Linked DNA regions of Diceros bicornis minor. The protein of the gene in region 1 binds, or shares a complex with, the protein of each later gene. Links are inferred from orthologs where the notes say so. Each region holds a gene or a part of one and is shown on either strand. Other genes may lie near its edges.

Region 1 (10,210 bases):
AAACCTCCATGTTTAAAAATGCCATACCCTCCACCTGCGTACATACACACTCATACACATACACACCCGATCCAACTCCACACTTATCCACTAATGACTAAACAATTTGAGATGCATTGGTGGGGGACGGGGGAAAGGGGCTGGGGAGGATTTTTTTTTTTTTCACAACAGTCATGCATAATATTTACTGAATAAGACATTGTGCTCTGTATTTTTTCTAGCATGTGGGGGGAATCATAATTGTATTTAGACTTTATATGGCATGGGTTACTCAGTTCACAGCAGAGGCACCTGCAGCAAATTAATTTGTTGTAGCACATTAATTATCTCATAGCTTCTATTTAGGCTGCAGCTGTTGCTATTATGTTAATAATATTTTTTATCACCACTGTATACAACAGGTTATGGCAATAATAGAAATATCCCTTTTTTTTGGCTTTCCCTCCCTATCATTTCCATTTTTCTATGTCAGAAGGGAAGACTGAAAGAAATTTAGGCAAATTAAGCCCCAAAGCGCACTATAATTTTCTATTTCTGAACCGATTTGTAAGAGAATGGGTAACTGAAATTAGCAAAGAATCACCCCACACAAAGATGGCGCGTGCAGAATTTGTGAAAGCGAAAAAGAAGACGAAGGAGAAGCAAAAGAGGGACGGAATACTGCAGTGCTGGGGTGGTGAGTGTTTGGATGGGGGCGGGGAAAATGCTGCAGTTTTCATGAAATAATAAGGTGGGGGAAAAAAGGCATACAAAGAGTAGGTTTTTCATTGTTTGTAAAATATAAACACAGATGAATTCTGTCTTTGGTTTGTTCATGCTTTTCACTCTGCACAGCAGGGATGTTCTTAAGAAGTTGCCCTCTGCGAAATTTCACTAAATGGGAACCGTGGACCCTGCATGATGGGATTATAATCACACCAGCCACTCCTTTTACATAATTTTTTGTTTAAGATCCAGTAAGACTCCCTGTTTTTAATATATATAAAGCAATAGACATGTATATGTCGATAAACTGAGGGTTTGCGTGCCTATAGCCTGGTGCAAGCTAAAACAAAAAACCGGTGATACCACATCTACAGATCTCAATGGATTCAAAAACAATATGAAAATTTTTAGCTGACAAGAACATGTCTGCTGCCTGCAGTCCCTGCAATAGCTCACCATGTTGCCTACTAACCAAAAGATCAAAAATTATCGATTTCATGGCGCTGCGTGCTCTGGAAAGAAAAGCTACTTTAAAATTTGCATTGTTTAAGAAATGAGTTAAAAGAAAAGAATCATTTTTTTTCTGAACACTTTGGGATGTGAAAATGGCTTGTTTTAATCTTACCCATGATTTACTATAATTCTATTATTTTTAGCAGCTGGAGTCCAGAAATGATTTTTTTCGATGAATTTAGGATTTTGCCGCAGTATACATCTGCAGTCCCAGAATCCTCCGGTAAGTTAATCCTTCTTGCGTTGGGAAACGCCTTTAACCTTCTTGTGAATGAAGTATCTGCAACCATTTTGAAATTTTTAATAGAGAGGTGTTTGTGCATGTGTGTGTATGTACGTTGGGGGGTATGTCTCCAAAGCATGATTTCTTAGCAATGCAGCGGTAATTGTCTTAGTTCTTAGAAACATATACCTTTGTGTTCTATGAATATCATGGATGATGTCTCCATTGCTTCTCCTTCACACTATCTATGGTAGCCATTAAAATGTACTTTCTTAGTATGGCAATGACTGCTGTGTCAAACCAATGAAGGCCTGGAGAACACATAACTCCAAGTATGAAGAGTGTTGCTGGCATAACCACAGCGGCCATGAACAAAACTATCACTGCTGCTGCCACTGCCACCACCATGGCCATCGCCTCCCACCACCTTCACTGCCCCTCCCTCACTCTGCAGTGCACACTAGATGCAAGCTTTCCACGGTGCCTCTCTGCCGAATTTGCCCAGTGGGTTCCTAGATTACTTCTGTGTGCAAGAATAGCCAACCATGTAGTCTGACAAGAGGTATTTACAACTACTTAGCCTGTTCAGCTGGAAACAAATCAAAAGATAACACTGAACCCTGAGATGATGTATTGCAAATCAAAAGTCCCAATCCATAAATAACCCACTTGATATGCTGCTAAATGAAAAGCTGATCCTGATTATTGTCCAGTGTTTTCAGGTTGTCAAAAAGAAATATTTTTAATAGGCCTTCTTAGAGAGTTGGGATCTATTGTTTATAAATGCATGGAATATTATTTAGTCTTACCTTTCTGCTGGGAGAGGATTCTTCCCAAGGAGATTCAGATACTGAGTCCAGAGGAGACCACACCCTCATCTCACTGTTTTCTACTGTTTCTGTTTACGTTCGAGTAGGGTTGATTAACAATTACAATTATACATTAATTTAAGGGACCTAATCAAAAGGAGCCAGTCTTCCATTTCCCTCTCTCTAAAGGAGCTCATTGTCTTAGTGCTCAATAAATGTTTAATTAATGGATTTGATAAAGTTAACTATCCAAAAAGTGAACGGACCTTCTTTACAGTACTGGCTTGATTAATGTTTCTGTAGGAAGTGCAATAACAATCCGGGCATTTATTTCTTTGCCTAGAGGTGATTTAAAAGCATGTGTTTTTGTGAAGGACGCTTTACGTTCAGGTTCCATGTAGCCCCTGCTTGATATGACAATGGTCTGCTATCATGACAAGCAATACCTCCTCCGCTAACCCAGCTGGAGACACTTTGGTTTCTAGGAACACAGCTTGAAATTTAGAACCATTTGTCTTTTGCAGTTTCACAAAGTGGATTAATTTAGGTCACACCCAAGTGGCTGACTCTAGAAGGAAAAGGTGTAAAAAGATAACCCAGTGTTTTTTATGAAATGTATTGCCCAAGGTCAATTTTTTAAAATCATTTCTACAAAATCACTTATTTCACCCACTCATCAGGTATTTTGATGCTTATATTTCTCCTTGGTTTAATGACAATATCTGTCTTCACTTCACACAAGTTATTCATCTCATATTTTTGATGAGACAATTGGAACAATTTCTGTTTTTTGAGAAGCAAATAAAAATTCTGAGCAATTTGTTAAATTCAACTAATTTGTTTTAATGTCACCCAGTAATTCTTCAGTACACTTAAATTTGACAGGAAAAACAGCTTGCTGCGTTGTTGCAAATTTTACATTTCCTTTAATAACATGTGTTTGCTTAAAGTATTATTATAGATTTAAAAATCTTAATTCTAAATTTAGATTAAGATATCTAAATTACAGAAAAACGTTTCAATTATTTTGGCATCTGAATAGAGAAATACAAATATAGAAGAGTTTTTTTATCTTTTAGAGGTTCTAATGGTGCAAATATTTCTTAACTTGATTTAAGTGTGCCTTATTTAGCAAAAAAAAAAAAAAAACCAAACATAGAAAAAGGAAATATCCATACAAAAAGAACCTCTAACATTAATTAATCTGATTTTACATTATGACTTAAATCTACTGTATATTCTTTAACTCTGCATATGAGTTTTAAAATTGGGGATCAGTACCTGGAAATGCCATTTTATACTTTTGAGTTTATATTAGAAACAGTGCTTTGATGAAATACCTTTTTCTGTCAATCTGTTTGAATTATGTCCAGCCAAGTTAACCACAACCGTTGGCCACACTTACTTCTACAGAATTACTAGCAAAAATAAAAATGAGAAAGTCATCTTAGACAATGGATTTCACTGAACATCATCGTGTGTGCACTTTTTCCACTGCAGGGGCCCACATGTGCAATAGTGACAGATAGCAGTTGACATTATCACTGTATATAGTAAAATATCTTTCAGGCAGGAAAAAAAATAGAATTATTTAAAGAACAAGTTGGCCCTTAAGTATTAACTATACCGAAAACTACATATCCTACCGCATGAGTAAAGGAGTAAGTAGGTTTCCTGCTTGTATCTATGTATAAAGACCTATTGTTTGCATGCATTAATTAGAGGGATAAAAGCCTCAAGATAACTTTCACTGTTGCTTTTTGTACTCTATTGTTTTGGAGGGAAAATAAGCATAAAACAATAGGCTAGAGAAAGTGAATCGATCATAATTGTTTCAGCTTTGACAAATGCCAATCTTGCTGGATTACAATGGAGACATTTCCAAGGGAAATGAAGACTCAACTTTAGCCTATTAAAAAGAATTAGAAAATGTTTTTGAAAAACAGAAAATAAGTTTTAAAAAAATTAGAAGCTGCCTAATCGATAGTTCCTTCCATAAACAACATACTTGGATTTCTCAAATAAGTAATACCGTAGAAATGCACCTTCTCCAAAGAAAAATCCCCACAAAAAGAAAAAACAAACCTATTGATATTTAGTAATACAGTGGAACCAAACACAAATGGACTCTATAAGAATTAACCTAACGGACAGGGCTCTAGAGCTAATCCATTTCCATCAGTCATTTGTTCACAGTAGGTACTCATAGGACTTGTTGAATTGCGGGCTAGGCGCCCACTCCAACGCGAGTTCACAGCCTTCGGGAGTGCGGACAGCAGGCGGCTCGGCCCGGTAGTTCACCCAGGTTCAGGCTGAGCAGCCGGTTAGGATGCGGGATGCACGATCCGGACAGTGGGGGGCTTTAGGGTGGTGAGCGGCTGGGCTGCGAGCCACGTCCTGCAGGGAGTGTGTGGCCAGACCGCAGCGCTGGCAGAAGCCCTAACCCGCCCGAGTCCCCCGACCGACAGCGGGGCAGCGGCGGCGGCGCCCAGCAGCGCCTGGAGCGGGGCAGGCCCCGACCTCAGCGCCCGCGCCGCCGCCGCCTCGGCCCCGAACTTCTGCCCTCTCAGGGCCTGTGCCGACCGCCCGCGCGGCCCCCGAAGGCCGAGGCCGAGATGCAGCCTCCCGCGGGCGGCGGGAAGCGCGTGGCAAGCCCCGCGTCGGCTCTCACGGTTCGGGGCACACGCGGGGCGGGAGCGTCGGGCTCCGGACAGTGGAGGATCCTGGTGCCGCCCTCCCCCCACGCCACTCCGGCCCGCGGGGGCCGCGGCCCGCCCGCCTCGGACTACGGTGCCCTCCCAGGCCGCCCTCCAGTCCCGACCGGTGGGAGAGCCGCGGGGCTCTACCTAGGAGAGCGTCCGGGCAGCGCGCGGGCGCCCCGCCCCGCCCCGGGGCGTTCGGACGGCGGCAGCCGGCTCGGCGGCGCGGGGACTACTTTCCCCCGTCCACCCGCGCCCCGCCCCTTGTCCTCGCGCGGCGGAACGCTCCGCGCTGCGCCGGTGGCGGCAGGATACAGCGGCTCCTGCGCGACTTATAAGAGCTCCTTGTGCGGCGCCATTTTAAGCCTCTCGGTCTGTGGCAGCCGCGTTAGCCGGTTCCCGAGAGCGGAGAGCGAGGGGAGGCGGAGACGGAGGAAGGTCCGAGGAGCAGCTCCGGTCCCCGCCGAGCCGCCACTGCAGGCCGAGGACGGTCGGACTCCCGCGGCGGGAGGAGCCTGTTCCCCTGAGGTGCTTGGGCGCTCCTTTCCTTACCCTTCCGGGGCTGCTCCCGCTCTCTCTTCGGAGCTAAACTTCGTCGCGGGCGCGCGGTCCCGGCGGCAGCTGGAGCCCGGCTCGGCGCAGCCGTGGGGCCCGGGTTGGGAAGCAGGGGTTGCTGGCTGGGGGCGCCAGGGAGGCGGCGGGGGCGGGCCGCGCCCGGGGGGCGGAGGGCGGCGGCAGGGCCCGGGTTCCGGTAGCGCTGCGCCTCGGGGGCCCCGGGGGCGCCGCTTGCGGGGAAGGGGCGCCGCGAGGGCGCGTCCAGGAGCTCGGATGGCCGGTGCGGGGGGCCTGTGGTTTTCGTCCGGGGCTCCGGTCGCGGCCGAGTTTGGGGGAGGGACCCTGCGCCTCGGGATGCGCCGGGGCCGAGGTGGGGGGCGGGGTGGGGACGGGGGGCTCCGCCTTTCCAGCCTCAGCGGGGAGTTGGGGTCCGGTCGCTGGGCCTGGGACGCACCCTGGGTCCCATCTGCCTTGCGGATAGGGCCAGTGGACTTTCTCTCCAGATTCCCTCTTTCGTTCTTAAGGACGAATTAAGGGAATTCTTAAGAGAATTGTGTTTTTTTTTTTAACGCCCTGCCTATGTGAGTTTGGCACTGGCGCTTGTTTAAATGGAAGCAACTTTAAACCTTCAAACTATTAGTGCAGACAGTGCGATGCGTCAGTAGGGTTTGCACACAGAAAAATCCCTGTCTTGCACCTATTTTTTCTTGTACCGTGCAGTTGAGGGACAGCGGCGATGTGCAGTGTACTGGAGTCTTCTGGATTTACCGCGATGGGTGTGAGACCCTACTAAAAATAAGGGTTGGGGGGCCAGGCCAACTTGCTTGTTTCTTATCGAGCGAACCTCGGGAATTCAGCCTCTGACTGCTTTGCGAATTTTGTTCGTAGAAATTACTTATTCAGATAGTTTTTATGGCAGCTAAACTTGGTTATCCGAGCACGTTTTCTTTTCAGCGGAGTGAATTTTTCCCTCGCCACGAAATTGGTGAAATGAAATTCAAGCATTGCAGCTTCCTCCAGTGTTTTGTCTGGGGAGACGACTTTGAACAGAGACTTTCGAAGTTCTCACAGGCCGCTTTTGAATCCGCTAAACTTGAAAGCTTTGGCAGTTGGGTGTAGTTGTTTCCTTCGTTTTCTCTTCCCTTTTGGAGGGAGCATTGTTTTATACTTTGTATCTTCCAGACATCTGTGGTCTCCCCTCCCCCGGAGCTTGTGAGTGGTGAATGAAGAGAGACCGGCCTGCTGGTATGCAGAGGTCGGCAAAAGGAAATCGAGGAGTGGTTTTAGTGAAATGAGAGCTTTGTGTCATGAATAGCGGTGGCTTAGACTAGACATCAACTTGAAGAGACGGCTGTCCTTTGATAAGTCTAGGCTAATGTTTTTCGGATCGCTAAGTTATAAAATATTTTGGCATTTAGGAAGCCGTTTCATTATTGTCACTTGGTGAACATTCACTACCTTCAGATATCTTTGTGTTAACTTGTTTTCGTCCTAAGAAATATTAGACATAGCTTGAAATGTTACTTACATAATGCCGTTGTTTAGTATCTGCTTAAATTAGTGACAAACTTCTACTTTGGAGGCTTTTTTTTTTTGATCTGAACTAAGGCTTCTGCTCCATTCATTTTACTTTTTTTAAACTCAAAGTCTCTGGACTAAAAATACCATTAAGGTTTATTTGAGAGTATCGTTATACAAAATTTGATTAATTTGCACCCAATATTCATTACTTTGACCTAGTCTTTGTTCTGAAGGCCATGTACAAGGACGAGGCCCTAAAGTGATTGCAACAGTAACTTGAAAAACTTGCAGAAGACCATTCTATAGGATTAAAGGAATGCTGAGACTATTCAAGTCTGAAGTCCTTGAGGGGGGAATAAAAACCGGCACCGGAAAGTTTAGTATAGCACAAAACTTAGAGTCCTTGTGGAGTCCTAGGCCTGAGATTTTCCTGGAGGCCAGAGCAGTCATTTTAAATAGCTTTCAGGAAAAACCAAGTTTTTAAAAATAAGGTGGTTAATAAAAAAGTGAAGCATTTAACAGTGTTCAAATGTCAAGAAGCATTCGAGAGTTTTGTTGCTTATGAACTAATTGCTGACTACTTCCTTTACCAAGATTATGTAGAAAAATGTGTATTCCAGTATTAAAACTTATCAAACCATGAATTGAGCTTTCTACTGTGATGACTGAAATAAAACTTGTCCATATAAATAAAGTTCTGTATGCTTGTTTTCATAGACAGTTCCCTTTGCCCCCTCCCCAAATAGGAAGGAAAACATGAAGTAGGCAGATTTGTCTAAGGGTATTGAGATGTGATGCTTAGGAAAACTATCTGCAGATATCCTTTTTTATTGTTGGGAGGGGTGAGAAGAGGAGCATAAGTATTGTTGAAACTAGGGATGTGGAGAATTCAAGTTTGAATATCACTCTTTTATAGTTATTATAAGTTAGCAGTGAAATAAAACCCCAGAAATGGTCTACATAAGTATAGTTAGCCAAATGAAACTTTTATGTTATTGAAATGAAACAATTCATCTGTCCAGTTATAACATGATTTTGTTTCTCTTTCGTGGTTTACTAGTTGCTGATAATCCATAATTGTAGATGAGTAGGTGGTAAATTTTAAGTTTGTACTTTGAGCTTGGTTGGAAGCACGCTTGATTGCTAACCCAGGGCAGCAAGTTTGAATGCTTTTAGAGCAGGACAAACTTCTAATAAAAACTATCAGCAACTCTTTTGTAGTGCTACATGTTGACTTGTGACATTGTTTTTGAAAACATTACTGTATTCACCTAGTTGTTTTCTTGTAGCCCTCTTTTTATTGGGAATACAATATCTTTGTTGAAACAGCTTGACTGAAAACATTTTTATACCATAAAAGTAAATAATAAATATAGACGAGGAGGCTGCTTCTGATTAGTCCAGACCATGTAGCTATTGCCTCTTGTACCCTCGTTGAGAGGATACTGATTGCAGAATCAGTTCTCATTCTTTAACAGACTATTGTTTATGTAATACTATTGTAATTGTGACTGTGATAGTTAACTAGGTTAATAGGCTAAAATAAATATATATTTCTCAGGTTTCACAAAAGGAAAATAACAGTAGTCTCCCCTTACTTGAGAAGAATATGTTCCAAGACCCCCAGTGGATTCCAGAAACCACGAATAGTACCTAATCCTGTATATACTGTTTTTTCCTATACATACATCCCTATGATAAAGTTTAATTTATAAATTAGGCACAATAAGAGATTAACAATAACTAAAAATAGAACAATTATAACAAGATGCTGTAATAAAACTTAAGTGCATGTGGTCTTTCTCACAATATGTTATTGTACTGTACTCACCCTTCTTATGATGATGATGTGAGGTGATAAAATGCCTACATGATGAGATGAAGTGAGGTGAATGAGATAGGCATTGTGATGTAATGTTAGGCTACTATCGACTTTCTGACCAAAGTCAGAAGGATCATCAAAAGGATCATCTGCTTCCGGACTGTGGTTGAGGACCATGGTTGACCCTGGGTAACTGAAACCAGGGAAAGTGCAACTGCGGATAAGGTGAGACTGCTGTGTGTGTGAGATTTGTGTTGCTTGAAAATGAGTAGGAGTTAATTCGTATAGTTTTTCATCACTTAAACTCAGGAAAAAGGTCTCTGTTTCCTCTGTTTACTTAAGAAAGCTGCTTTTGTGTTTCATGCAAGACTGAGCTTGACTCAGGTTTGAAACCTAGATCCATCAGTTGAGGCCTGAATCCTGCTGTCCTTGAAGTATGTATATAATCTGCTTTCTCCCTAAGGAAAGAGAAGCTCTTAAAAGAGAAAGTCAGTCACGTTAGGAACTCCTTTTTAGAGTTTAACTACCTTTTGCATTTGTTAATTGTGGGCATCTCTTCTTTTAAGAGACATTCCCACTCCCAAAGTCACTCTCAAACCTGATTCAGCAGAGAGAGAGTAGTGTTAGGGCATGTTTTCATTGCACGCTTTGGTCATGTTGAGTGCCCTCCAGTGGATATAATGTAATGCTTGTGATTTTTCCCCCCTAGCAAGTTTGTTTGTGTGGAGTTTATTTATGAATAGTTCTCATGAGAAAGCATCAATCAAGAAATTGTTTGAATTTTAGAATAATTTATTCATATCAATACTGCTAATTAAAAGGTTGGCTTGAGAGAATGTCATCTCAACCAGTGTTTGCAAGAGAAAGGTGAAAGTTAAATTAGGGATTAAATTTTAGTTAAGTCACTTTAAACAGGCAGTTCTGTTTAAATATATCGTAATGATAAACCAAAAACTCAATATAACAATTTGGGGGTAAAAGATCGTAACGTTTAGCCATATTAATGAATTAGAGAAACAAATTCTTAGAAAAAGTTAATGAAGAAATGAATTGTCAGTTTATCTAACATCTGTTACATAGTAAAACATGAGTAAGTGCTCAACTCAGTTATATTATCAAAGAATATTATGTCTGTGTTAGGAACTAGATAGAAACTAAGCCAGTTGAGTATATGTGAACTCGAGAATATAATGCCCTAGTGACTATGGGTGTCATTTTGTATAGAGTTGTGGGCTATGATGATAGCCCACAAAATATCACTATACTGATATTTTGCCTTTTAAAATTTTCAATAAAAACCTTTCTCCATGCTCCTCTGTTAAAGTTCTTGCTATTTCTATTAGTAACATTATTTTCTGAAAAT
Region 2 (10,210 bases), on another chromosome or scaffold:
GGCGCTAAAAGGGAATAAATAACTAGATAACTATTTTTTTAAAGTAAGATTTAAATCAGACCTGGAAACACGAGTAGAAAAGAGGGGGAAAGGGAAGTCTTCTAGAAGGGCAAAATGACTCCCACAAGCCAAGGCCAGGAGGCAGGAATGTGCTGAGCAGGTGTGGGTGGGAGAAAGGCCTGATTGAAGCAGAGGGGTGTATTAAAGCAAAGTGGGAAGTAAGGCGGGAGAGAGAGGATTGGATAAGATTAAGAAGGTCTGGAAGACCAGACAAAGGAATTTAAACAATGATAAAGTAGATAAGAGAGACATAAAAGGATTGAGCAGTGAAGAAATGTGATGAAAGTGAAATCTAAAAGAGATTATCAGATGAGGAGGACAGAGAGAGCCTGGAGTCAGAGAACTGGATTGGAGGTGAATATAGTGAACTAAGCAAAAAAAAGATGAAGGGAGTCCGGAACAGGCTACCATGGGCGGTGGAGGCTGGAAGAGACATTTTGATAGATTACTGGCTGGATACAGACACTAATAGACAAGGATAAGTCAGAGTACTCTGTGGTCTTACACTAGGAAGTTAGGGGAAGAAATTAAGTCCAATAGTAGCTGCGATTTCTCACGCTGGAAATCTAGTTTTCCAGTAAAGTGGAGCTTTAAAGGTTCTAATGATTCAGTATTCTCCTTGAGCAACTAAGCTTTAAGTCGGCTCAGAGGTGCACCCATTTTAGTGTTGGCAGAGATCTTTGTGTTCCACACGACAAAAGAGGTCCAGTTAAATTGCCCAAAGTCAACCAATTAACTAGAGAAAGGATGGGCTAGAACCAGGCCTCAACTTCTAGTCTAATAAACTTTCCTAAACTATGTTGGATATGAGGGACTTCACAGGTAATTCATAGTTGGATTTCTCAGTTTGTTTGACCACAGTGGTCAATTTTCAAGAAAGAGGATTTACCCTTTCTGTACCCAGCCCCTGCCTGCTCAGTTTCAATCTGTATACATATGAACTGTCTAGCTGGTTGGGCTTCTAAACAATAACTTCTTGTATTTGCCTTACTAATCCTTACCTCCACATGACCAGAAAAAGTGAGGACCCTCACTGACTGCCAGCCTCAACAGTCAATATTTTCATACTCCTCTATGCATAACAAAGTAAAACAAACGACTTCTCAACAGAATGGAATCTTAAAGTTTAAAAGATCTTAACCTCCCACCCAAACTGAAACCCCCTAGAAAATACCCCTGATAGATGGTTTTCCTCTATATGTTTTCAGGAATGGGGCAGTCCCTTCCTTTGTCAGGACAGCTCTGATTACTAGAAAGCTCTGAGTCTGAGTACTATGTCACTGCAGTGTGCTTCAGTGAAAATAGCACAGGCCTTAGAGTCAAGCAGACTTGGGTTAGAATCCTGACTACGTAATTTGCTGTATGACTCGAGCAAGTTATTTATCTTTTTTTTTTTTAATTTTATTCATTTATTTTTTTCCCCCAAAGCCCCAGTAGATAGTTGTATGTCATAGCTGCACATCCTTCTAGTTGCTGTACGTGGGACGTGGCCTCAGCATGGCCCAGCAAGCGGTGCGTCGGTGCGCGCCTGGGATCAGAACCCCGGGCCGCCAGCAGCGGAGCGCACGCACTTAACCGCTAAGCCACGGGGCCGGCCCTTTATCTTCTATCAGTCCCATTAACTTCATCTGTAAATTAGAGATAATAATACCTGTTTTACAGAGTTACTATGAATATTAGAGATTATGAAGCCAAAATGCCTAATACAGTGCCTGGCACAAAGAGCTAATGAAGTGATAATTATCATCGTCATCATTATCCCACCCACTGGTCCGAGTCTGCCCTCTGGAGCTACATACATATGCCTTTCAATACTTTCAAACACTTAAATTTAGTTGTCGTGTTATTCCTAAGCGCTCTTTTTTCAGAGTAAGCATCCACCAATATTTTCTCTCTTGGTTATCCTGCCCTTGGCTATGACCCTGCATATGATGTTTGTAGAACATGGTGCCCATAACTGAACAAAGTACTCCAGTAAGACCATAAGCCTCTATTCCCTAGACATTGCTCTTCAAGCTGCCTAGGACTCCTTTAGCTTTTTTGGCAACAGTGTCACATCCTGCCTTAATCCTACGAAAACTTCCAGGTAGTTTTCATACGAATGAGCTTTAAGTCTTCTCCATTTTGTACTTGTGTAGAACTCTTTCTTTGAAATTAAAAAGTAAGACTTTTTATCAACTGAAAGCCTGTTATATATTAGGTATTCTGCTGAGTTCTGTGGACATAGGGATGACTAGGACAAAGTATCAGCATACTAGAAACGTAAGCTCCACAAGTCTTTGTCTATCATGTTCACTAATGAATCCTCATTTCTTGGGATGATGTCTGCACACAATTATATGCTTAGTTTGTTGAACGAATGAATGAATAAAATAGTTTACAATGGAAATTTTCCCTATAAGTAAAAAGGAATTTCCCTAATACACTTATTTTATAAATTCAGATATTTTGTACATGCCTATCACTTTTAGCCCAACCCTAGTGTTTTTTCCACCTAGAGTAGACCTAATTTCCAAAATAAATTCGTACTGTCCCTTTCAAGGCTAGACTAAATACTTACATGCTTTATTTGCTGGATGGCGATTATATTCCACCATTGAAGGCCTTTTGTAAGTACTTGTTTGACATTTAATGCAGGGCTCACTTCTCAGGGTTAGCAGTAGCAGGTCATGCTTTCTGAGAGCTAAACATCGAGAATTTCCGGAACCGAGTTCTATCTGGCCGTGACTTGCTGTGGGGGAGAATAAGGTCCTCGGGAGAAATGTGAAGCAATGGCTTAGCAGGACCTTGAAATTTTGCATTGGTCTGCGAAGTCCTGCCAGGTGCCCATAGGCCCAGCGTCTCTGGGTCAAAATCCGTCCTGCAGACGCCAGATATATGAAATTTGGGGCTGTCCAGTTCTCTAAAACCACAGTTAGGGAGGGGCTAGGACCTCTGAGTCCTTTCACAGTTTTTTCCAGTATTTGGGCTTAAGGTGAGGCACTCGTCGCCATCTCGATATCAAATACCAGGCAAGCCGTCACTGGCGTCTTTCGGTAACCACGGAGACAGCCGTGCCGCTCCGTAGAGGCTGTAAACTACGATTCCCATCAGCTGATTATCTCTGCTTGCCGGCGAGTGTTTAGATTTGGCTTTTCGATCCCGCGACCCTGCCGCAGTGAACTGCGGGAGTTGCAGTTCGCGGTGTGGACTCACTTTTTGCTGCGGGAAGCTCCATAACTACAAATCCCGTGAGCCAGAGGGCTCACGCATGCGCACAGGACAGCCGGTCCTCCCTGGCCCCCCTGCCGGTGCCTGAAAGGTAAGAGAGGGCGGGGGGAAGGAAGAGGAGGCGGGATCCGGGAGCTGCGTTGGCTGCGGCCTGGCACCAAGGGGGCGGCCCCGGCGGAGTGCAGACCCAGTGTTCCCCGGCGATTATGGACCCGGCCGAGGCGGTGCTGCAGGAGAAAGCGCTCAAGTTTATGGTGAGGAGAAGGGGCAGGCCGGGAAACTGTGGAGGCGGTGGCGTTGGCAGCGTCGCTGAGGCTCGGGCCTGGGCCGCCCACCCGCCGGAGGAGCGGGCAGCGGGACCCTGGGCAGAGACCGGCGGCGGGGGCGGCTGAAAGGACGGGACGGGACGGCAGCTCCAGGGAGGCGGGAGGAGGTTGCGGAGAGGACCCGGGGGTGGGGGCAGCAGTTCCGCCATCTTGTGGATGAGAGGCCAAGTGACAGCGGGAGCTTAATCGGGGAGGGGGCTCTGGGTGGCGCGCGGGGCCCTGGAGTGAAAGGTGCGTGGGGACAGTTACTGAAGAGCGGAGGAAGCCGGGAGGAGAGACGCCGTGAGGCCGCTGACAGGGCCTTCTCGGTGTCAGGGTTACGGGTAAGGCCTGGGAAAGAGGTGCATTCAGGAGTGGGGAAGGGGAGCGCGGGATAGTGGGAGGAAAGATATTGCGAGTAGGGGTAGGGGAAAACGGGCAGGGCTGGATGCAGGTGGATCTAAGGGTGGAGGAGAGAAAGCCAGGGCTGGTGGGAGACTTGTAGTTTTGTAGAATGACGGAGGAGAGAGAGCTTTTGCCTTCAGGATGCAATCGCAGCTTGGCCAAACTAATGTTGACAAACTCCGGAAAGGAAGAGGCCTTACTTAGGAAGATAAGGACTGGGGATGGGGACCTAGGGCTATGGTGACAGTCTCTGGGAAAGGAAAGGGATGTTAACCATGAGCCAGGATTACAAATGTCAGAAAAGGGATACATACTCTACTTAGAAAGGAGAGGCTAAATATTGTAGTACCGACGAGGTAATGAAAAGCAAGAGGATTGGTCAGGAAAACCTGGGTACAGGAGATTGGGGGCAAAATTCATATCTAATAGGGAAAACAAAACAAAACTATTGCTAAATTGTAGAGCTAGTAAAATGTGGGGCCCAGGTGCTGTATCACTTTCTGGGAAAGGAAAGGCTGTAGAGATTAGAATCGCAAGACCCATAAGAAGTGATGAGATCAGTAGAGAAATTCAGGAGATAAAAGGGGGAATGTAGATAGTGGGGAATGGGAGATATCAAGATTGGTGGTTACTTATCAGTTTTAAGTTGAAGCACAGTATGAGCTTGGATTGGATTTTGTGGGTGTGTTTAAATCCTTTGGAACCTAGTTCTTTAACTTTGTATCATGCTTTTCTTTTGCTATGCTTATGTTTGTATAGTCTGATATTTGATGTGTTTGATCTGATGGTTCTTGTATATCCTAGGTGTAAAACCAGACTTTATGGTTACAGCTAAAGAGTGATGGGATGCATAGACTTCTATCTTAACAGGTGATCTCAGGGACATTGATATTATTTACAGTTGCATCGTGCTTTTTCAGACGTGATTGTAACTTGTCACTCTAAATCTTATTTCTTTGTTAGTTGTTATTTTGTATCTTTGCCTGAAATACTAAAACAAATCTAAATAAATATGGACACTAACCTAATTGAATTCAGGCTTTAAACTGCCCCATTTACAAGAATACTTTTTTACTAAAACTTTATTTATTTTGTATTAGTACTTTCAGAAACACCTAACTAAAGTTTGAGTGTATCATTAACAAAATTCCATTAGGCCTGAAGAAGGTTCTTGAATTTTTGCCCAATGATGAAATTCTAAAATATTAAGAAGAGACTTTGAAATTTTTTTGCACTCCAGAAGTAAGAAGAAGCTGCTTTATATCTCAAGCCAGCTTCTAGATTTAAGTCAGAAAAGTGGCAGCTGCTTATTTTTGTTTTCCTGTTTAAAGGCTGACTCGATCCTAATCTTGACACTTGTGTCAGATTTATGGAATAATGTGTGATTTACAGATCATAAAGAGACATTATGAGATCATCTTCTTTACTCCCCATTAGACCTCAGCCTAGGACGTTCTCAACTACTTGATCTCTGCTTTGTACCAGTGAGTTATGTTTCGATAATGGTCTCCTGACTGAGTTAAAGTGGACCTGGAGATTGCCATGTAGTAGTTTGCAGCTTTTAGGGCACCACACATTATTAAATGTTGAGTCAGTTTCCATAGGGAGAAGCCAATTTTTTCTTTAATTTTAGTTACTTTCATTTTTGACCTTGCCTGCTATTGTGGCTGCTGTTTGAGAAAAGGCCAATGTGAAGAGGGTCACCAAGAATGACACCTTAATAACTGAAGCAAAGAATGGAGAGTTAGAGATTTGGTATTCTTTCTCAGCTCAGTAACAGTCTTATTATGAATCTGAGTAAGTCACAACTTGCCTTTGGTCCCATTTACCCTGCTATAACATGTTGGTTTCTTCAGAATCAATTTTGAGATAGGAAGATATTTTATTTGTGCTTGCACCAAGTAATTAGTGCACAGTACACATGGAAGGGCTATCCTTTTAATCAAGTTGAAATTTTTGTATAGTATTTGCCTGTGTTTTGGCCTTACCTCTTCCTTCAGCTGTGAATTGTGAATGGCAGTTTTTGTACGGATACCCTGATTTCCAGTTTAAGAAAATGTAAAATTTGTTTAAAATGCCAACATGTAGTGGATATTCTCTTTCATGAATTTTTCTCATTACCACATTAATATGGTGCTTTGATTAGGAATTTTACAATATAATCTTATTAATGAGACTACCGAGTTGAACTCGGAACTACTAATTCCGAGTTGAACATAATTCATACATGCTCTAGGCTTAAAGTTTACCCTTGCATACTTGTGAAAAATAGTTTAAGCAGGAGGTTTAACTTCTAGACACAAATGATATTATTATTATTATTTTTTTGTGTGTGTGAGGAAGATCAGCTCTGAGCTAACATCTGTGCTAATCCTCCTCTTTTTGCTGAGGACCGGCTCTGAGCTAACGTCTATTGCCAATCCTCCTCCTTTTTTTTTTTTTTTTGCCAAAGCCCCAGTAGATAGTTGTACGTCATAGTTGCACATCCTTCTAGTTGCTGTATGTGGGACGCTGCCTCAGCATGGCCAGAGAAGCGATGCATCGGTGCGCACCCGGGATCCGAACCCCGGCCGCCAGTAGCGGAGTGTGTGCACTTAACTGCTAAGCCACGGGGCCAGCCCAGACACAAATGATATTAAAGCAGTAGTTACATTAAATAACCTATGTGCTAATATAACCTATGTGCTAATATTTCATTCAGTTTTAGGAGGTCCTTAAGGACCTTTCCTAATACTTCCTTGGTCATCACAATTATAATTCAGAAAAGATAAATGGGAACTTGAAGAGGACCTGAGAAGAGAAATGAAAATGATTGAAGGAATGTAGGCACCATTTTATAAAGAGATATATATATCTATAAATATTTATATGGGGGATGGAAGGACAAGTTGAGGGATGAATTTAAAGTTTATTTAAAAAAATTTACAGGATAAACCAGTCCCAGAATCTTAGAACTGGGGAAACGTTTGAAGCTTGGTTGAATTAATTTTAGGGCATATAAAATGGTTTTTTATTGAGTTGATGGATAAGTGAAACATTATAAAAGGTAACTTTCTGTGTAACAAACCACCCCAAAACTTAGTAGCTTAAAAAAACAATTTATTATTTCTCTCAAATCTGTGGTTGACTGACGAGTTTTCACTTTCACTTGGTATATTGGCTGGGGTGCCAGTATGGCTGGAATGTTCAAAATGTCCTCACTTACATGGCTGGCCGCTGGCTGAGAGTTCAGCTAGCGCTAAAGGCCTTCAAGTCCTCCTTTATGTAGGCCTCCTTTCTCCACATGGGCTTTGGATTTCTTTAAAGCGTGGTGCCTGGATTCTAAGAAGCAGCATTCCAGGAGACAGGAAATAGAAGCCAATCAGCCAATTCTCTTAAGTCCTAGGTTTGGAAGTCTGAGAATGTCGCTTTTGGCCCAAGAGAGTGAAGGCCAGGCCAGAGTCAGAGGGAGGGGCAATAATCTCTACTTCTAGACAAGAAGAGTGGCATGCATAAACAGAGAGGGGGAAATTGTTGGGGGCTATGCCCTTTTTTTGTAAGGAAGATCAGCCCTGAGCTAACATCTGATGCCAATCCTCCTCTTTTTTCTGAGGAAGACTGGCCCTGAGCTAACATCTGTGCCCATCTTCCTCTACTTTATATGGGACACCGTCACAGCATGGCTTGACAAGCGGTGCGTTGGTGCGCGCCTGGGATCTGAACCCACGAACTCCGGGCTGCTGCAATGGAGCACGCGGACTTAACTGCTTGTGCTACCAGGCCAGCCCTGGCCATGCCCTTTTGAGACTGGCTGCTGTAGATGCTATTCTAGTTGGATGTTCAGGCTAAAAATAGAAATGGGATCAGCCAAATTTGAGGGTAATAACACTAGGAATGCTTTGGAGGCATCTCTTTTTTGAGGTTAACTTCTTAAGGAACTAACATGATCTACATGACTTGCCTTAATGTCACTGTAGAGGTAATACTGGGTGAATTAATATGATCAGTAACTTTTCTTATTTGCTTGAGAAGCATATGTTTCTAAAAGCAAGAAAATATATTTAAAAATAAATATTCATATTTTTCACTATGATGGGCTTTTCTTTAAATCAGTGAGATTGATTACCAGCTGGTTGGATGAACATTTGAAACTAGTTCTTAGTTTAAGTTGTCAGAGTTTCTATGTATATATTACCTGTTCTCAATTTAAATTAGCCTTTAGTTTCTTTTCTGGATATTCTTATGTAGGTATTGGGGCATAAAATTACAAACTATTGATAATTCTTTGTGCTAATTTTCTTGATTTGTGTTTATAATAGATGCATATAATAGATATTGGAAGTGAATTATTAGATGTGAAATAAAATTCTTGTACTTTGAATGATTGTCAGAAATTTTTTATTGCTAAATTAGAACATGAACTTTCAAGAGAGACCACTTGTTATCTATATTATTTGAATATTATTTAAATCCTGAAAGAAAGGAAGCAGATAAGAATTTTTTCCCTTACTACGAGAGACAGGACATTATGTAAGATCTTGATCATGTATAGATAGCATTATTTTATGGTAAATGGCATTACAAGAAAAAAAAGAAAGAATGACAATGAAGAAAGAAGAAAAGAATCTTTGTGATATTAAAATATTTTAAAATCTCATCTACTTTCTAATAATGTTTTAATACAGCATGGAAGTGCTTTCTAAATATGTAGAGTAAGAATTCATGGAGGATGAAATAGAAAATATTTACCAATGTTTTAACAACTTGGTCATTGTAAAGAAAACTGCTTCTTTCCTTAGTAAACCAATCCCAGCTTCCTAAAAGTGGCAATGGAGGAGGAAAAAGTCTCAATGGGAAAGGTTCACTGGATTTTATTGTTTCAACTAGTATTCCACAAGATGCACCTTGTACTTTGGGAATCTCTGGAGAATTCCATATGTTTTCCCAAAGCCTGATTGAAACATAGCTAGAACGTTTTACAGAAGACTCAGAAACAATAACAGTGGAATAGATATGAGAGTAATGTTGAACTAAGAATGTGATTTGTTCTCTGGGGCATTACCATTGTTGTTCCTGGATTGCCTTCATATGTGGCCAGGGTGGGGGTGGGGAGCGAGGGATCAAAAGCCACAGAGCTGAGAGAGAATTCCTGCCTGCCTAAAATGAACCTTTTGAGTTGGAATTTCCTTCTGAGGTCTTGCTCCTTCCTGAGATTTGGCTCTCCCTTCAGAGTATACTTGCCTTTCCGTTCCTAGGCTTATGACCTGACCTGACCTGACTCTGTCAATAACAGGATAACCACAGTAAAATTGGGAGAGTTGTTTTTTTTTTTAATTTTTGTTTGTTTACTTTTTAAAATATAGTCAGCCTTGAAAAACAGCTAACAGCTATCATTTATTTGTTTACTGTATGCTGTTCTGAATTCTTTAGATATATTATTTCATTTAATCCTCCCAATAATCCTGTAAGATAGATTCAGTACTATTGTTACCCCCATTTTCAGATAAGGCAATTGATTCTAGAGAGGTTAAGTATCTTGCGCTAAGTCACTCTGGTAGCAAGGAGCCTGAGATCAAACCCAGGCAGTCTGACTTGAGACTCGCACTTACACTTTATTTCATCCTTGAATAACAGAGAAACAATCGAATATGATGGCGTATTTCTTTGCTAGTCATGTGGTGGCCAGAGTGGAGGAGTTACTGCTCAGACTTAATATAGATTTTCTGATTATTTGAATTACTGAGGAAATGGAGTAAGATTTTACAGTTGTCACAGTATCATTGTATCAGTTAGCAATTGCTGAGTAATAAAGAACCACAAAATATCATAGCATACAATGATAGATACTTATTCCCAGGAATATGTGGATTTGCTGAGAATTGGATGATATAGACTGGGCTTAGATGACTCTGGACTTGGCTTCTCACTCAAGACAGTTCCACACGTTGTTCTGGGACTCAGACTACAGAGGCAGTGACTTCCCAGGCAAAGCTGTTCTCATAGCTACAGCAAAGGCACAAGAGAGCAAGCCCAGTTGTTCAAGTGCCTTTCAGTCATTGGTTGTATCACACTTGCTAATATTCCATTAACCAAAGCATATCACGTGGTCAAGCCCAAAGTCAAGGGGCAGGAACGTGTACTCTGCCCAAAGAAGGACTGGGGGAGGGAGTAACTTGCACAGAAATCTGTAGTTACAATAATCTGTAATAATCTAGTCCACTTAATTCATAGAAGAATGATAAAATGCTTAC
Region 3 (10,210 bases), on another chromosome or scaffold:
CCCACAGAAATTGTAGCTCAGTGAATTTGCAGGAGGGCAAATCTGTGTTTTTGAAGTGCCCTGGGTGATTTGATGCTTAGCCAAGTGGGTGAACCCAGGTCTCAGGCTGGGGCAGAGCATTTTTGGCAAGGGGAAAACAGGCAGGTATCCTCAAGCATGTGTATTATGAAATATTTTAGCAGAAGCTGACAAATTCTAGGTCATCCTGACTTCCCCGCCCCCAGTTGCTCCTTGCCCCACTCCCCCCACCCCAATTCTAAACAGTCTTCATGAGCAGGTAGCCAGGCAAATGCACTTCAGCCCAACCCAAGCCGACTGCACAGTGGCAAGCAAGAAAATGGCACAGAACTTCCTCTCCTAGGAAAGGGCACTTTGGTCTCGTCACTGTTTGCAGAGCAGTGTTTGCTTTAACACAGAAGCAGGGAGAGTGAGGAAACTGGTTTGGCTGGTTTGCTGGGTGGGAGGGAGCCCAGGGAAACATTTGAACCAAAGGGAAAACACGGGTGAGTCTCAAACAGAAAGCACCCAATACTCCAGGTGCTTTAATATTTAATATTCACTGAGCACTTGACACACCCCATGACTTGGGTGCTGTTATGCCCATTTTACAGAAGGGGAAACTAAGGCTTAGAAAGTCCTTGGCCAATGTCCCTCGGCTGGCAAGGGGCGTTACTTGGATTTCAATCTAGGCAGTCTGACTCAAAAACCTTCCAAAGGTTGGGACGATGCCACCAGGGCCTTGGGGGGAAGTAGAGGATTGGAGGTAGATAAGAGGAAGGAAAAGAGCAGATAGAGTGGAGGCCCAAAGCCCTCCCAACAGTAACAAGCATAAGCTGAGGCATATTAAAGAGAAACTTGAATTAGTGAGGGAGAGAGAGAGGCCACCACAAATTTCTTTTTAATTGACCAAATATGAAAAACACTTAAAAATTACTAACTGCCCTTCCATTTCTGGATTCAAGTTTGAGGTCTCCCTCTCTGACCTCCGCAGCTTTCAGAGGGAAGCACTCAGGACACTGTATCTCCAGGACACACTTAGCTCAGCTCCAAGAGCCACTGACTGGCCTGCAGCCCTCATAAGCATCTTAGGAAGTTCTGACAGACCCAAATCTTTCCTGCCCAGTTACAATCAACATTGAGGGCTGGCCTCAGGCCAGAGAGCTTGAGAGGAAAAAAATGAGCCAAGGTATGAGTGGTAGTAAATATTCATTCATTCATTCATTTGCTCAAAATAGTATTTGAGTCCCTACTCTGTCCCTAAGAAAAATGAGCCACCATTTAACAACTCTTTCCTGTTTCTTTACATCTCTCTCACTTGCTCTATGTTCAGCCCATGTCTGCTTTATCCATTACTGTAACCCCAGTGTCCAGCCCAGGTGCGAAATAAACGAATATGCACATTGAATTCTCATGACAAACCTCTAAGTATCACTGCCTCCTATTTTACACGTGGGGAAACTGAGGCTCACAGAAGTAAAGTGATTTACCCAAGGCCACATAGCTAGTAGCTGAAATTCACAGCTGGATCTTTCATGTACTTACTCATACTGAGTTCATTCCCCTTCTTGAAAGGCTAAAGCCCTGAAAGGAGATGGGGGTTGAGGCAGAGTGGAAACCCAGAAAGTCTGGATTGTGACAGATGCCTCTCGGGGAGTTTAGGGTTTTCGCAGCTTCTGGACGATGTGAGAGCTGATTGCTTCAGCGTCTGGCTTATCTGGAGCTATGCTTGGAAAGGAAAGTGTAAAGGCTCACCCAATAAAAAGCCTGGGAGAGCAACCCGGGATTTCCATAACCACCTGGCAGAGGCAGGGCAGGTCCAGTGGGCCCCACGGGGAAGGAGTGGCAGTCAACCTCCTTAAATGGCCTTGCAGGGCCCCAGATCTTTCCACCTCCACTGCTCCTGAGACACAAAGGCAAGGGCAGGAGAATGACCCATTAGCATCCTTCCCCAGTGAGCTCTGCTTCAACCCTTGCCACAGCCATGAGTAATGGAGAAGTGACATTTAGGAGATTGAGGGCTGGGGGAGTGGGGATCCGATGATGTAAGGTGATCCCCAAGCAAGCTTCTGTATTTGTTTGTTTAAAGCCCAGTTTAATTGGGGGGCCTGCATACTGTTTCCACCACATTTCAGCAGGTCTTTTAGAAAGAGGGGGAAATGGATGAGTTAATCCACACAAGTGGGTGTCTGTGAGCTAGGTTGATCCATCAAGCAGCCAGGCCTCAGACCCCAGATATAAGCCTTGTTTGCCCAATGCCAGGTGGTGGAGAAGCAAAGCGAGGAAACCATTGGTTTAAAAGCCTGCCCACCCGGCCCCCTGGCTTAGTGGTTAAGTGCGCGCACTCCGCTACCGGCGGCCCAGGTTCGGATCCCGGGCGCACACCGAGGCACTGCTTCTCCGGCCATGCTGAGGCCACGTCCCACATACAGCAACTAGAAGGATGTGCAGCTATGACATACAACTATGTACTGGGGCTTTGGGGGAAAAATAAATAAATAAAAATTAAAAAAAAATAAAAGCCTGCCCACTTTTTTTTCCCACCCCTCAATCAACTTAAAGCTGAGCACACTAGGATAATACTGCTGAGATTCCAAACTGCCTAACAGCCTGGGTTTCTCAAACTAGTTTGTGTTAAGAAAGAGGAAAATAATCAGAAACTCTCAAGAACCAGTTTACAGGTTTTTAAAAAACATTCTCCATTCTAGAATCTGGAAAGAAACCAACGGAGTACATACAAGGCTGTGATTGCAGTCATCCATCTCACGAGGCACAGGAATGGCCCCAGGAAACCAACCCAAGCTCCCCTGAGTTCGGTCAAGCCCTATTTGTGACATTCACTGGTGACAAAAAGTGACAGGTTCCTTGTTTTCAAACTCCCATGCAGCAAATTCTCCCTGGGGCCAACGTTTACACCTGGTGCTAATGTGGCATCCCTCCATTTTCCTGGAGTGTCCAGAGGGAGGCCACCTCCCTAAATCCTGGCTGCCTTTTTAATCACAAAGCCAGTTCCCTGAGGTTACATGTGTGATCTTACCAGAAGGGGACTTCTGTCCTGGGGTGATGCCACATTGGACGGGTAGAAGGAGACCCCATGGTCCAAAAAGGCCAAAAAAAGTGAAATGTCAGGAAATCTGTTGAACCGGGATAGGTCCATGGGCCTAAAGGGAGCTGGAACCAGCCACACAAGCAGCCTTGCGGAGGCCGCCTCTCCCACCAAGACCACAAGCGGCAGGCCCCCTCCGCCTCCCACCCAATCTGACCCATCTCCATCGCCACCACCTGCTCTGGGGGTCCTGCTCTATCAACACCTCTCCTCTCCCAGGCACACAGGGACCACGACGTCTACTTCACAATGGACACCAATTCCCCAAACACCCTGTTTTCTTGATTGATTATTGAATTATTGAGAAGCGGAGAGAACAGGAGAAGGACCAGCTGTGGATCCCTGAGCAGATTACTAAATTGCTTTATGCTTCAGTTTCCCCACCCACAAAATAGAAATAATAAGGTTCTTGGGAAGATTAAATGAGGTAAAATATGTGAAACATTTTGCCCCAGAGTCTGGTTAAAAAGCAAATAATAGATGCCACTGCTAATAATAATGATAATATTTATATTATTACTAGCATGTAATAATGTTGTTAGCGGTCAGACATAAGAGCTTGGGGAGAGGAATAAAAACCAGACTAACCCTCCCTTGGCACTAGCAAATATCTTGGTGCAGGAAAACAAAATGACCAGCACTTGTGTTGGGACACCTCACACACAGGCACACACTCCCTTTCTAACCCTCACCTGCTCCTCAAGGCTGGGTCAGCTTTGCCTCCTCTCAGAAACCAGTCCTCACTGCCCACTGATACCCATCAAAACATCCCAGGCCACCCACACTCTTGGCACCTAAATGTTCACGTCCCACAGTGCCCTCTAAGTGGGTCCTGGGACACTCCCAGCAACCTGCTGGAATGTGAAATACCAAGAGCTGGGCTGGAGTGCCCCTGTATCTCCTCAGTTCATTCCCAGGTGCCCAGCACAGAGTCAGGCAGAATATCAAGCAGAGAACTGGCCAAGTAATGGCGGACTTACTGCAAAATCAGGCAGACAACACTTCCTACCTGACCCAATAGAAAGCTCTACACAACACAGACGGGCCTCAGAAAAGTAAATATGTTTAATCAATCAAGCTGCAGTTTCTGTTAAGAAAAAATCCCGCCCACTGTTGGAACAACTTCCAAAGTTCAAAAAAGAATTTCAGACAACAGCATGATTGCTGCAAATTTTTCACGTGGCCAAAGACTGGAGGAATAAACTCGGTGAATTCCCTCAGAGGAATTGTGGGTGATTTCTCATTTTAAAAAGTGTTTCTTTTACTGTTATGAAACTTGCCCAACCAACTAAAATCAAGAGGGAGGAGAAAGTCGCCTGGTAGGAAATAAGCACCTGGGAATCAGTGAAGCCAGAAGAGAAACTAACTTTCCCTTGCTCTCACTCCTGGGCCACTGAAAAGTGAAACAGAGCAAGCTCTCAAATCCTGATGATCACAGTGATAAGGCCCAGAATTACGTTGTGTGCGTTTTCATAACCTGAGTCAGAGCTACCAGGCTTTTTTTTTTTTTAAACCATTATTCCTTGAGGGAATAGTACCTGTATCAAAATGTTTTCATCTCTGTGAGTAATAGCCACAGCCTGGTAACCAAGAGAGGGATCCTCAGTCATCCCAGAGATGGTGCAGAATGGGGCCTGGGAGTCAGATCCTAGTTCAAATTCCTGTTCTGCTGACCCTGGGCAAGTGGACTCCACCCTCTGAGCCTCCATTTGCTCATCCGTAAAACAGGAATTACTGCTCCCTTCTCACACATCAGGTTTTTGCAGTCTGAAATGACAGACTGTCTCTAAAGTGGTCAGGACACTATGAGACACACTGAAGGCCTCTAATAAGTGCTCCCCCCCTTATAACATAACCATACGAGGATAGCCCCTCAACCACAGTGCTCAATCAGGGTAAAAGTTCAGATCCTTACATCTGTGTAAATTTCAAAGGGGTGTCATTTGAGCCAGAGAAGGAGGGCTTGCCCAGTTCAGTCTAGGGCCGTGGGAGCGCAATTTCTTGGACACTTTCCACTCCTACCCCAACCCACCCGGCTCAGCACACCGCCGGCGCGCCCTCACCTCTGCCCAGGACTCGGCCCGTCTCCAAGTGCCGCCGGGGCACCGTGAACGTGTAGCTCTGGGCACCAAAGCCGGGACGGCAGGGCTCCGGCTCCTGGCAGAGCCACGATGAGACCTGGGGTAGGGAAAAGGTATGGAACCGGGGTGAGTTGGGGGGTCCCTTCCTGCCCACATCGAAACCAACAGCGCCGCCCCTCCCTCGCTCCCGGCGTCAGGACTGTGGGAAGGACCCACCCCCGGGGCAGGCAGCCACGCCAAACTCTTTCATTCCGAAACCTGCGGCCGCCAGGACCCCAGGCCCTTCCAGGAGAGGGGGCTGCTGGTCACCTCCTCCCGACCTAGCACCTCTCCTGTCTCCTTTACAATTTCACGGAGGCATCTTTACTCTTCCCAACTCCACTTTCCTCATACCGGGAACGTTCTCACTCCTAAGTCTAGTTCCTCATACCGAGGGGCGCTCCAACCCCTTTGGACCCCACTTTCCTACCCCAGGGGCACCCCCATACCTACTTACTACCCTTTCTTTACATGGCAGGTGCCTTTATTATCTATTGGTTCCCTTTCCTTACCTCAGGGATCGAACCCACTACTCCTGGCTCCCCCTTGACTTGCGCCGGGGCTCCCCTTCCATATCCCTACCCCTACCCTGCTCCACAGCCCCCGCTGCCCGCTCCCCGCCACACCGCGGCGAACCGGAGTCCCAGCGCCTGCAGCGAGGCGCGCGCCCCCTCGGTGTCTGCGGGCTGGAGTGGGCAGAGCCGCGCTCGCCCTTCACCTGCTCCCACCCCCATCTCCCGGGAGTCCAGAGCGCGGCGCAGCTTCCAGGCCGTTTAGGCCCTTTGGACCCAAACTTTCTTAGTGGAAGAGGGAACGACGAGAGAGACGAAGGGACGACGAGAGAGGAGGGGAAGGGACGCGGGGCCGGGGCGCGGTTGGTGAGGCTGGAAGGCGTCTCCTGCAGTCCGGGGACCCGACGTACCTGCAGCAGCAGCAACAGTAGGAGCGCAGAGAGGCTGCGGCACGGAGGGCCCATGGTGGGCCGGGCGAGGGTCAGGTCGGCTCTGGCCAGGCTGGGCCGGGCTAGAATCTAGCAGGACTTCCGCGAACTCACAGGTGCTCCGCGACTCCCGACGCCACTGAGCCGGGCAGCGCCGCGGCCGCCAGGTGAGCCTCGAAGGCCCCGCCCCCAGCCCCGCTGATTGGCTGAAGGTGCACCTGCCGGCTGCAGCCAATAAACGGCCATGGCCTCAGCTTCCTCGACAGAGGGCGGACGGCCCGCCCACGATCCGCCCCCCTGCCTCGCGCCGACCCGGTGACTCGCTGGCCGGTGGTTGGCAGGGTCGAGGTAGGGTGTAGGGGCTCCCCGATTGCGATTACCACCAGGTTCGAATCCCAGCCTCGCGGTGGTTCACTAACACCCGGGGTCCGAAAGGACTTCCGCTTAATTGAGTTCTGTCTCTTTAACTGCAGGTCTCCATCGGTTAGTGAGTTTGCAAATCAGATCACTGGGTAGCACCCACCTTTTGAAGCCTCAGTTTCTCCACCTTCCAAATGAGAATAATAATCACAAACGCCTCCCTCTGTTGTTGTGAGGTTGCCACACAATTAATAAGACCAGTGTTTCCTGCAATATAAAAGCTCTGTATGGATGTGAGGGATAAAAATAGTAATAATAGGTGCTGGGGCATTGAAAGTTACAGTGCCAGGCTCTGTGCTAAGCATTTGACATTGACCATCTCAGTTAAACTCATCTCCAAACAACCCAAGGGCTTTGTTATTATTCCCTTTTGTTAGGCAACTAAGGCATAAAGAATTTGAGGCCTGGGAGTTGGCCCCGTGGCTTAGCGGTTGAGTGCGCCCGCTCCGCTACTGGCGGCCCTGGTTCGGATCCCGGGTGCGCACCGACGCACCGCTTCTCTGGCCATGCTGAGGCCACGTCCCACATACGGCAACCAGAAGGATGTGCAACTATGACATACAACTATCTACTGGGGCTTTGGGGAGAAAAAGGGAAAAAAAGGAGGAGGATTGGCAATAGATGTTAGCTCAGGGCTGGTCTTCCTCAGCAAAAAGAGGATTGGCATGGACATTAGCTCAGGGCTGATCTTCCTCAGGAAAAAAAAAAAAAGAATTTGAGGCCAGTAGGAGGTGGGGGGAGGACTGGAACTCATCTCCCTCTGATTCCAGAGCCCTTTGTTCTATTAGCTTCACCTCATGCGGCCTCAGATAGTCTTCCAGCTGGAGCTGCAGTTTTCAATCTGTTCTTTAATGAAGATCTGGAAGAGACCCTTTCGAGATCACCCAAACCTGTTCTTTGCAAATAACTCTTTCAATGTCACATGGAAGTCAACCTCAAAGCCAAGACTAGAACCTGAGATTCCTGATCCCCAGACTGGGGCTCCTAACACCACACCACAGCCACCACCACCCTCTCTAGAGAATTCTGTCCCCAGTAAAATAATTTTAGGATCAAAAAAGGAATAGACATGCAAATGTTAGGTTAGACAGTTTCCCTGTCTGACTGCCAGGGGCCAGCCCCTTCTTTGTGGTTGGCTACCCTGATAAGGACACCATCTTTCCCTTCCCCCTTCAAGCGTGATCAGAACTACAAAACAGTGTGTGGAGTCAGCTGCTCACTAGCTGTGTGACCTTGGGCTAGTCAGTGTTCTTACCTATATAAATGGGTTGATAGGAGCTAATGCAAGAAAATCACTAAACAGAGTAGTTGACGCCTACTAGCAACTGCTCAGTAAATGTTGTGGAGGTTGTTCTTTGGAAAGAACCACTGCCTTTCCTCCTTCCTCATGGGGAAGGCCATGTTTAGAATATTTCACCCAGAGCTAAAGGTGAGTCTGAGCCCATTGTGGCTACTTTCTCAACCCCAGAGGAAAGGCGTTGTCTCAAACCAAAACACTGTTTTGGGTCAGCCCCCTCCCACCCCCAACCTGTCCCCTCAGGCTTAATGGGTTTCTGAGCACATGCCCAGGCCATTTGATTTCTGCATCTTGGCTCTCTGTCTCTTAACCCACCAGGAGGCTCAGAGGGAAAAGGCTCCAGTATTTCCTTTCCCACTGAGGCTCCTGCCGGACTGTGCATTAAACAAGATAATGGAAATACAGAAAGAGGCGTCTCCCCCGTGGGGCTGCCTTGTCCGTTTATTTTTTCCTCCCAGTTATGTAAAAATACATATTTTATATCTTCGCTCAGCCCAGGGAGCCTTTAGGGCTTTGCTTTCCTCCCCCCAGCAAGCCCTGGCCTTGTAGCTCCGCGGCAACTTTCATCGACTCTTCCATTACACTCTGATAACTCAATAAGAAGGATTTTAGAAAACAATTAGGGGCAGTGAGGACAGGTCCGGCACAATGCTCTCTCCAGACTTCTCGGCAAGTCCTTCTCCAAGCTGCAGGGAGTGGATCGTGAAGGCCTGCCCGCTCAGGGCCGGTCTTCCTCAGCAAAAAGAGGAGGATTGGCATGGATGTTAGCTCAGAGCTGATCTTCCTCACACAAAAAAATAAAAAACATTGAAATTAATGCTTTAAATAGGTGAATTGTGTGGCTTATGAATTTTGTCAGAATAAAACTGTTTTCTTTTTTAAGTGGGGGGCTGTCTCGCTAAGAGCAGGCTTAGTAGAGGGGTGACTTTTGTAGCCCTATACCTCCTACTGTTTTTGTTTGTTTCACACACAGAAAAATCTAGAGACCTCTCTTTTTTGTGTGTGTGAGGAAGACTGGCCCTGAGCTAACATCTGTGCCATCTTCCTCTATGTTATATGTGGGATGCCTGCCACAGCATGGCTTGATGAGCAGTGCCTAGTTCCACACCTGGGATCCAGGCCTGTGGGGAACCCTGGGCCGCCAAAGCAGACCGTGCAAACGTAACCAGTATGCTACTGGGCTGGACCCTCTAGAGACCTTTCTTCCATGCACATATATAATTTATAATCATAACGACAACAACAACAATAATGGCTCTAATTTATGTAACACTCACTCTGTTCCAGGTGCTAGACCCAGGCACTTTTCCTTTTGTTAACTCACGCACCTCTATGAGGAAGATACTGTCCTGTCCCCTCTTGAGGAAACCGAGAGGTGAAGTGGTCTTCCACAGCCAGTAAGTGGCAGAGCTGTGGCAAACCCACTGTGTGCCAGGCCCTGTGCTCAGTACCTGCAACAGAGAAATCAGTCCTGAAGGCCACCGCTCCCTCCACTGTCCAAGAAGAATGACCTAACCAACCCAGTGCTAGGATGACCAACTGTCCCGTCTGCCCAGGACAGAGAGGGGTCCTGGAGTGTGGGACTTTAGTGCTAAACCTGGAAAGTTCTGGGTAAACCAGGACTAGTTAGTGAGCACTGATTGACTGTCCATTCCTGTGTGTGTGTTGTACACGCGTGTGCTCGCCTACTCACCGGCTCATGAAAGGGGTGCGTCTTGGTCTTTCCAGGTTCCACACTTCTCAAGTTTTGCAGGAGGGAAAGGTGAAGCTGGCCGTGCTGGAGCCAGACTGGGGCAGGTGGAGGGAGCTTCCACAGGCAGGGGTGGAGACCTGCGGAGCCATAAAACCTGGGCAAAGTGCAAGGTTTCCATTGCAGGCCTGGAAGAAAACTCCAGAGTCCAGACCGAGGATGTGGGGCCCATCATTTTCTAGAGTGACTCTCCAACTTTTCAGGACACACTCATTCATTCACTCACTCATCCATTCATTCATTCAGTAAACCCTCATTGCACCTAGCACATGCCAAGCGCTTTGCTGGTGAGGGAGGCCCTCCCTGCCCTCAAGGAGCTTTCAGTCTGGTGAATAAACAGACAAGGGAACCAGGTATTTATGATCCAGGGCAATAAGCAACAATGATATTCATATTTAACAACTGGTAGAACCCGGGCACCAGGCCAACCAAAATGAACACCAGCCGTGAATGCTGGGGTGGGGGTGGGGGTGGGGGTGGAGTCCCAGGCCCCCTGCTGTGCCAGGCTTTACCCTCTGGTTGCTGGGTGGTGGGGAGATCTGGAGGGGTGTGGGAGGGGCTGCAGGTGTGGGGAGCACTC

What was found.
Region 2: the proteins of CTNNB1 (region 1) and BTRC are in contact, whole or in part, in a crystal structure (PDB 1P22), measured with the Homo sapiens proteins. The link is inferred for Diceros bicornis minor from reciprocal best matches to the Homo sapiens genes CTNNB1 and BTRC. Residues at the interface, in NP_001091679.1 of Homo sapiens: Tyr30, Leu31, Asp32, Ser33, Gly34, Ile35, His36, Ser37, Gly38, Ala39, Thr40; in NP_378663.1 of Homo sapiens: Tyr307, Arg321, Ser345, Leu347, Ser361, Ala385, Leu387, Lys401, Arg403, Arg426, Ala427, Ala428, Asn430, Gly444, Arg467, Gly468, Ala470, Ser484, Leu508, Arg510, Tyr524, Arg557, Phe559.
Region 3: the proteins of CTNNB1 (region 1) and CDH1 are in contact, whole or in part, in a crystal structure (PDB 1I7W), measured with the Mus musculus proteins. The link is inferred for Diceros bicornis minor from reciprocal best matches to the Homo sapiens genes CTNNB1 and CDH1. Residues at the interface, in NP_001159374.1 of Mus musculus: Leu148, Ala149, Arg151, Ala152, Glu155, Leu156, Leu159, Asp162, Val167, Lys170, Ala171, Val173, Met174, Gln177, Leu178, Phe253, Ile256, Thr257, His260, Leu264, His265, Asn290, Lys292, Phe293, Ala295, Ile296, Asp299, Gln302, Ala305, Tyr306; in NP_033994.1 of Mus musculus: Asp788, Val789, Ala790, Pro791, Ile813, Asp814, Asn816, Leu817, Ala820, Asp821, Pro824, Ala826, Pro827, Pro828, Tyr829, Asp830, Ser831, Leu832, Leu833, Val834, Phe835, Asp836, Tyr837, Glu838, Gly839, Ser840, Gly841, Ser842, Glu843, Ala844.

What each region holds. Positions count from the first base shown.
Region 1 is NC_080741.1:43,545,290-43,555,499, forward strand, and holds the start of CTNNB1 (catenin beta-1), read left to right. Parts: upstream 1-5,312; 5' UTR 5,313-5,477; intron 5,478-10,210. UniProt on the Homo sapiens protein: Key downstream component of the canonical Wnt signaling pathway.
Region 2 is NC_080745.1:66,482,535-66,492,744, forward strand, and holds the start of BTRC (F-box/WD repeat-containing protein 1A), read left to right. Parts: upstream 1-3,399; 5' UTR 3,400-3,476; coding exon 3,477-3,524; intron 3,525-10,210. UniProt on the Homo sapiens protein: Substrate recognition component of a SCF (SKP1-CUL1-F-box protein) E3 ubiquitin-protein ligase complex which mediates the ubiquitination and subsequent proteasomal degradation of target proteins. Recognizes and binds to phosphorylated target proteins.
Region 3 is NC_080771.1:20,367,967-20,378,176, reverse strand, and holds the start of CDH1 (cadherin-1), read right to left. Parts: upstream 6,292-10,210; 5' UTR 6,200-6,291; coding exon 6,146-6,199; intron 5,282-6,145; coding exon 5,167-5,281; intron 1-5,166.